Linked DNA regions of Coturnix japonica. The protein of the gene in region 1 interacts with the protein of each later gene in a biochemical or structural test. Links are inferred from orthologs where the notes say so. Each region holds a gene or a part of one and is shown in the gene's direction. Other genes may lie near its edges. The genes, in order: RACGAP1 and ECT2.

Region 1 (4,352 bases):
TGGGTTTTGGTTTGTGTTTTTAGTTGTATTAAAGGCTTGCAAATGGGAGGAGGAATGAAATGAGGCTTTGCCTTTTGGCTTGTGGGTCTGTTGGCTCAAATAGAAGACAAAAGGCCACGGCATCATTCTTCTCAAGGGACAACACTGAACCAAAGGCCTTCTGGAAAGCTTTTGTTATCTGAAATAGCTTTGGGGCACATTGAATGCCTGATGTCACCAATGCACAGGGGACTCGGAACCCTGCCATGCTTTGTGTCATTGGTTTAGCACAGTTACAGCCAGGGCTTGGCCTGAGAATAGCATTTCTTCCCCCAAAATACCCCTGTGCTGCCAATGGCTGCGTTCAGGGTTAATGCAGAAGGAGCAGCCCTTGGGTTGGGGGTCCAGGCCCCACCGCCATCCCTGCCTGCTCTGTTGCTAAGCAACAAGGGCTGGAAGCAACTGCCAATAGTAAACATGGCGCCTAGCCGACTTCACCATCTGTCAAACCCGGAAATCAGAGGAAGGGAAAAAGCTTTGCCCTTAGCAGACATGGCGCCAATTTGGCTTCAGACACACGGCGAGCAGAACCAATCAGAAACCAGAAGGGTGGAGAGCGCCCTGTGATTGGCCGGCGGCAGGGATTCAAACCGAATCGCGGGGCAGTTGAAGCCGGCTGTTGGAGTGGGAGCTCGGAGCGGGTGAGTGCGCGGGGGGAAGCCGGGTTGGGGAGGGGTCTAAGGGGCTTCGATATGGGATTGGGGGGCATCAGCAGGGTCCTGGGCTGAGGGAGGTGGTCTGCAGGGCCCTGATCTTGAGCTGAGGAGGCTCGGTGGGGCCCTATTGCCGGGCAGCCTCCCGGTGTGTGTGGCGCGGGGTAGGCCCGAGGCCTGTTACCTCAGGGCAGGCCCGAGGCCTGTTACCTCAGGGCAGGCCCGAGGCCTGTTACCTCAGGGCAGGCCCGAGGCCTGTTACCTCAGGGCTGTCCCACCCGTTGTGCCCTATGAAGAGGCTGTGAGGGCTCCATATGGAGCTGTGGGTGTATTGAGGTGCTGGGGAGTGAGACACAGGGCTATGGAGTGTCCTCAGAGCTTTGCTTTTCCATGCAGAAAACCCCAATGTGTGTGGGGTTATAACCAAGCATTGTAACAGGGCGTTGTGCCCCTCCTGGTGCCACTCCCAGCCATCCTTCACAGCCGCCCCTTCACCTGGAGCTCATTCATTAACCAAGCCTGTCCTGAGTGCCCCCTTCTGTATTAAAGAACTGCGTTCTGTGCTGCTGAGCTCGAGGCTTTCCTCTTGGCTGCTCCTGTTTATGCCGTTGTTTTCGCTGTTTGAGGGATTTGTGCTGACTGCCTGCATTTCCAAGGCCGTTTGCAGCAGGAGCTGTAACTTAAAGTGGAGCTAAATATAAAACGGCATTGAAATTCCCCCTGAATGCTGCTTCTATTTTTACCTCGTGTTGCTCTGAATGCTTACAGATTTCTGGTGGCCTATATAGCACCGGAGTGGGCCCGAGCCACGTCCTGCAGCCTGGCAGAAGGAAAATGGTTTGTGATCCCTCCTCTGTAGTAAACTGGAGGCTGTTTGGGAAGCTGTGCTGCTCTAATACTAAATTCTGGAGGGCTGAGTGCCTTTGCCCCCTAAGAATTTAGATGCACATCTCTTCATAAAGCCTAACATCTTTTTTTTGTGTGTGTGCAGCTGCTACATCTTGCCTAAAGAAAAGAGAATTCTGAAGCAAATTCTCTCTTTTTTGGGGCTGGTAATGCATTTTTCATTTGGAGGTGTTGATTTAGTTCTGTTTTCTTGGCAGGAGGATGGATACCACAATGAGGAACCTGTGGAATTTGTGTGACCAACTCATACGCCAGGCTGAAGTTTTAAGCGAGGGGAATGAATGCCGTAAGTTTTGAGACATCAAGCAGCATCTGTGTGTTTATATTCTTGCAGCAAGCATTGCTAGCTGTTATTGAAGGATCTGTTGATGAGGTCTTGAGTAATAACACTCTTCCAGGCAGCCAGATTTGAAGGTTGTTTCTTTTTCCTGTTGTTGAGAAATAGGGAGTCATAGGGTGAAAGCAAGTTGCCTTTGTCAGGGTCTCACATGAGGTATCTGCTGCTTGATGCTGCTGCTGAGACTTGGTCTGCAAAGGTGGTGACATCTTGGGAACATCCAGAGTGTAGTGGGGTTTGCTGCAAGGCCAGCTTCTCCATGTTTCAATTAATAGAGATTTTAATTAATTAATTATTAGAAGTCTGCCCTCAATTATAGGAGAGCTGTTGCATCTCCTCTCTTAATCTGAGTGATGTATCTTTTCTCCAGAATTTATTCAGCTGGCGAAGAACTTTGAAGACTATCGAAGGAAGTGGCAGAAAACTGAGCAGGAGCTTGGAAGATACAAAGACCTGCTGATGAAAAGTGAAGCTGAACGTAGTGCTTTGGACGTGAAGCTGAAACATGCGCGCAATCAAGTGGATGTAGAGATCAAACGCAGGCAAAAAGCTGAAGCAGACTGTGACAGGCTGGTGAGTGTTTCTTTTATTACTGGTTAGCTCTAGTTGATGTGGAGAGAAGGTGGTTAAACTGCAATTAACCGGGGGGGGGGGGGTGTGGAAACAATAGGGGGAATAAAAACAAGTCAGTGATGGGTTGATCTGGCTCCTTGTAATGGCCTTCTGCTTTTGTCTGGAAGGCGAAGGGCTGCTGTTTCAGAGCCTGGGCTTTGCAGATATCAGCAGCTTGAGTGCTGGACTTGCTCTTAGCAATTTGTGAGAGCCTATCTGTGTGGTATCTCAAATACCTGAGATTGGTTCATGTAATTAAACGGCTTCTGATATTATCTTTCTTTTCAGGAGAGGCAAATACAACTGATTCGAGAGCTGCTCATGTGTGATGCATCTGGGAGCATTCAGCTAAGTGAAGAACAGAAGTCTGCCCTTGCCTTCCTTAACAAACCACAGGTTTCTGTAGGAGGTTCAGGCAACAAGAGGTAGGCAGAATGGTTTTGTCTGAACAGCATAAGTGACAGCTACTGGTCTGCCTGCGTGTGTCTGAGATACATGTTGCATCCATATCAACAGTTTTACTTTTATTCCAGTTTGAAATAGAGCTCTTTTGCCTAAGGTTGCTTTGGGACCACAGCTGCCTGAAAGCCAAACTGATGCATGCTTCTTCTAATTCTTGGTTTTTAGACTGTCTACAATAGATGAATCTGGCTCAATTCTGTCAGACATCAGCTTTGACAAGACTGATGATTCACTGGTAATGTAATTCCAAGTTCTAAACTATGAAATCTTAAACCTGCGGGGTAATCTCTAGAGACCTCTTGTGTTTAGATTACTGTGGTATTAAATTGGTAGAGCTGATCTGCATATCTCTGCTGTGCTATTGGGTAAAACGTAATGGAGGTGTGGACCAGAGGTGGTGTGGTGTTTACGCTGAGCTAACCAGTGCTGCATGTTTTCCACAGGACTGGGATTCCTCTGCAGTGAAAACTGTCAGACTGAAGAGGAGAGAGAAGAGGGTATGTTCAATTCTTTCCCTTCACATAGATACTGTTGTTAGCATTAACTGGTGTCACCTGTGATGGGTAGGTGCTAGTCACAAAACCTTGATGGATGTGATTCAGACTTGCTGTGTAGATTTGGTGTGAAAGTTATTTCTGATACTGTTTTTCCACAGGGCATAATGAGTGGAGTTTCAGGTATCTTGTTATGAACTTGAGTCTGCAAGAGAGTGGTTAAAATACATCACTAAGTTAATAGTATTACCTGCCTTTTAGACTAAAATACTGTGTCTTTTCAGCGCTCTTCCAGGCAGCATGCTGAAGGCCCACCAGCTCCTGAGAAGAAAATCAGATCAATTGGCTCCACAGCAGACCAGGTATAGTGATCCCAGCTGGCTGTGTGTGTGTTTAAAGCAGTTGGCCACAGTGCACACCTGCTTCCAGGGCCAACAGACTTAAATCCTTGTCCTGTCAGCATTGCTGTCACCAACAACACACTTCTTGCTACAGGGAAATGAATCCATAGTGGCAAAGACGACTTTCATGGTTCCCAGTGATGGTGGTCCTATTGAAGCCATCTCTACCATTCAGACTGTGCCCTACAGCCTGAGAAGCCAGAGAAAGAGTGGTAGGTGTCAGCTTGTTGTCCTAAATCAGTGCTTAGCAGGCTGGAGGGTGTCCTGTCATTGTAATTTCCTATGCTCCACCACTTAAGCTGCTGCCTCTGATTTGTAGTGCATGTTGTCTGGAGCACGGAATGCACTAGGGTACGGTTCCCATCTAGACAATGCTCCTCTTCTGTTTTCTAGGTCCTTTGCAGCCTTGGAGCAGTGAGACAAGCTTAGGCTTTAAGCAGGTGGAATC
Region 2 (3,813 bases), on another chromosome or scaffold:
AAGGAGGGACAACTTGGAGGACCAATACTTGCACAGGAAGAGATTAAGACTATATTTGGCAGCATTCCAGATATTCTTGATGTACACACTAAAATCAAGGTAAACTGTAATTTCCCCCCGCACAGGAAGATATGATGCAAACTTTAAGTTCTGTTTGTGTTAAGCCATAGCTACTGAATGGATACATAATCATTAGGGTGAATTAAGAGCAAATCTGAAATATACTTTTAATTTATAAATGAAGTTCTTAAGTACCTGAAGTCTGAGTGTTATATGTAACTAATACTGCCATTCGTGAGCTGTACTCAGAATTAAGTACAGCGGTTGTCTGTCTTTCTTCAGCTTTGGTGTAATGAAGATAAGTAGCAGATACAAATGGAGAATAGTGATGAAACCTCTCAAAGGGAATCCTGAACTTCAGCTGTACTGTCTTGTCCCTGTTATTAGCTGACAGTAAATAAGCTTGATCCTTATCAAGCTGATAGGTGCTTAACAGCTTGCTCTTACTCTTCTTAACCCTTGGTGCACCTAGTTGGGGAAACCTATGCTAATTCTCATTTAATTCTAACTGCTATTATGCCGTTTTTGTTACAGAGCTAACTAGTTCAGACACATCATTAGACTCTGCTTCTATTGATTCAAAAATGTATATTTGGTAAATCAGGAGTTTTGCTATCATCTCTTGATAAACTTAAGAGGTTTACTGTGAAGTTGTGTGGGTTTTAGGACTGCCTGTTTTATTATGTGTTTGTGCTGACTATGTGTGTTTAGCAGAGCACTGGTACCATCTTAAAGCTTTATGCAGTTGTCACTCATGTTCTTTTCTTCTCCCATCCTTGCGCCTAACCTATAGGAAGACCTGGAAGATCTTATGGTGAACTGGACTGAAAGCAAAAGTATTGGTGATATCTTTCTTAAATATGTAAGTTTCTGTTTTTATGCATTTGAACTATAGTGAGATATTATCTTACAGAAAACCCACTGTAGGATCTAACAAACACAAGCATAGCACTACTGAGTAAGCAAGAACACTGACTCGTGTTATTGTATCTTCTGTTTAGACTTCTTAGCTGAGTTAAGTGATATACTTTGTGTAAGTAATCCCTGTCAGCCTGCATCTGTCTGTTTGCATTATGGATTAAAACTTCAGATGGGTGTAATTAAAAGCAGCCTTCAATTTGCAGCGCTACAGACATTTTTTACTTAAATGGTAGAAGAAACTCTTACTGTAATTTTAGTGATCTTCTGCCTCCTTTCAATAATATGGAATTAAGAAGTTAACTTTTTGAAGGCACTTGCACTTTTCCTTGAAGACTTAAAATGTGTGAATAATGACTGCTTATTTTTCACGAGTACATAATGTACAGAACATGAAAGCTAGATCTGGGACTGAAGTACTTTTTAACATAGTAAGCCTGATACTTATCTTGTGCTTTTTCTGCCTTAATCATGCTGAGGCAAAGAACGTTTTGAATTCAAACGCTCTTGATCTGAGGTATTGCTTATGGTGATTTAATGCCATTCTTTCCTAAAGGTGATTGCACATGCTGGTGAAGATATCTAGAATTTCCCAAACTTTCACTGAAAGTATCTTGTTAGATAAGAATCTCCTCTGCTTGAAAGATCTGCTCAGTGGCTTCTAGATTATCACATTTGTACTTGAGAGCAGTCTGTATTTCATAAGCAGCCTTCAGTCTTGAACATTTGGCATGCAAAAATGTCCTAACTTGTTATGTGAGCACGCACAGGTTTACAATGCTTTATACTTCATTAAAATGTCCCTTTGAGCAGCTCGGGGTGTATAGACATATGTGCAATGCTACATCATATGTAAAGCAGAGCTCTTACAGTTGTTTGTTTTTCAGTCAAAAGACTTGTTGAAAACATATCCACCATTTGTGAACTTCTTTGAAATGAGCAAGGAAACTATTACTAGATGTGAAAAACAGAAGCCAAGGTTTCATGCCTTCCTGAAGGTATGTGTTTTGCTTGAAGCTGTGTGAATGTGGCAACTATCATGAAGTAAACTATTTAATGCAGTTGATGAAGAACTTGAAATTTTAAGAACCTGAAGGATTGTTGAATAGGAAGGATTTGAACTTCAATCCCTTAAGTTTCTCAGGAGTCTCTTTACTAAGAGATTCAAGTTCCTTGTCTGTAACAGCTTCTAAGCTAGTTTGATTATATGCTGAAAAACTTATTTGTCTCCCAAACACATACCTTTTTTTCTTTATTGATCCCCATCCTTGTGCTGAAGACTTGCAAGTTAAAAGCTATTTTGGGAAAACTGTTGCAGAAATGAAGTTCCAAGGAGGTAGAATGTCTCACTGTCTCACTATTCCTGTGGCTAATGAGAAGAGGATTTAAGAGAAGGCTATCTTCAAAGGGAAAGTTGTCTGTAGAGGAGTCTTTATACACCCAGGGTTCTAGATAAACCTGTATAGTTGACTGTTAGTTCAGCGTAGCTTTAAATCTTCTGCATCTAATGAGCATATCTTAAAAAAACAAACCAAACCCCAAAACAATCAAGCTAAAAGATCCCAGTTCTTGTTTTCTGAGATATTAAGGACTATTTCTGCATATTAATAATTAAATGATGGGGAAATGATAAAGCATGCAACCAGCTCACCTGTCTCAGTATGCCTTAACATCTGGAACAAAGTCTGAGAAGTTGGTAATATGGGCAGTTGAATTGTTTTGAAAAGATGAGTGATAAACACTATCTAGATTTGAATGCCTTCTAATGTGATTGCTTAACCACTGTGTACCTGTTTTGAAAGACTCTGGGGAAACTTCTGCAATGCTGGTCTTGGAAGATATAACACTTCCCTTTTAGTTGGAAAAATAAGAACTATTTCCTTTTTCCCCCCCTTTTCTTGTAGATAAACCAAGCTAAACCAGAATGTGGTCGTCAAAGCCTAGCTGAACTACTTATCCGTCCTGTTCAAAGGTTGCCTAGTGTTGTTCTACTACTAAATGGTAATCTAGTTTTTGGTTTTTTTTTTTTGTATGTTTGATCAAGGTATTTAAAACCAAGATAATCCTGCTTTTGGCATGATTAGAAGTGGCTTGTCTTACATGAAGCATACTTCTTTCTAAGAGTTAATCACACTTAATAGCAATCAGCAAGACCAATTACTGAAACAAGCATAGTTCAAGAAAATTTCACTTGTGTGCTTCAGATACATACATGAACAGCTAGAAAAGCTTGTTCTGAAGACAGTTTTGTTGTCTTAAGTACAAGTGTAACTGAGGTTCAAATGAGAGAACAATTCATATCAACAAGGCTACAGCTTCACGTGTTTGTCTTGAGATCACCCACTTAATGTAACAATTATAAAAATCTGTTAGATGTGAGTTAACATTGTCTTCACAGACCACAACATCCACTTCATAAGGCAGGAATCTGGATACTTAATAAAGCATGTAAATAGTCATTTCTAAAACTGGCTATTAATAGTAGTAATGTAAGCTTAACGTGCAGTTAAACTTATATTTGGAAGCTGAAGTACCATAAATCAACATAGATACTGTGGTGCATAAGTCACACCATGTGTTAAACTACTTCAGTTGATGACTGCCAGCTGCAGTGATGGGTAGTTCATGTGGATGAATTGATATGAAATTACTCTAACCAAAAAAATTAAATTGTCTTCCTTTGTCTTCCTCCTTCTTAAATTCTCAACATTTTATTCTTAAGGGTCTGAGAACTTGCAATGTTTTGAATTGCAGATCTTAAGAAGCATACAGCAGAAGACAACCCAGATAAAATAATTCTAGAGAGAGCTATTGAATCATTAAAGGAAGTGATGA

Evidence for each region.
Region 2: the proteins of RACGAP1 (region 1) and ECT2 form a complex in vitro, tested with the Homo sapiens proteins (3 studies listed by BioGRID and IntAct, with this or other methods). The link is inferred for Coturnix japonica from reciprocal best matches to the Homo sapiens genes RACGAP1 and ECT2.

The regions. Positions count from the first base shown.
Region 1 is NC_029544.1:383,566-387,917, forward strand, and holds the start of RACGAP1 (rac GTPase-activating protein 1), read left to right. Parts: upstream 1-1,433; 5' UTR 1,434-1,529; intron 1,530-1,795; 5' UTR 1,796-1,799; coding exon 1,800-1,884; intron 1,885-2,305; coding exon 2,306-2,508; intron 2,509-2,835; coding exon 2,836-2,972; intron 2,973-3,174; coding exon 3,175-3,244; intron 3,245-3,452; coding exon 3,453-3,506; intron 3,507-3,787; coding exon 3,788-3,865; intron 3,866-3,998; coding exon 3,999-4,116; intron 4,117-4,297; coding exon 4,298-4,352.
Region 2 is NC_029524.1:16,991,738-16,995,550, reverse strand, and holds part of ECT2 (protein ECT2), read left to right. Parts: coding exon 1-99; intron 100-853; coding exon 854-922; intron 923-1,865; coding exon 1,866-1,976; intron 1,977-2,882; coding exon 2,883-2,979; intron 2,980-3,732; coding exon 3,733-3,813. UniProt on the Homo sapiens protein: Guanine nucleotide exchange factor (GEF) that catalyzes the exchange of GDP for GTP. Promotes guanine nucleotide exchange on the Rho family members of small GTPases, like RHOA, RHOC, RAC1 and CDC42.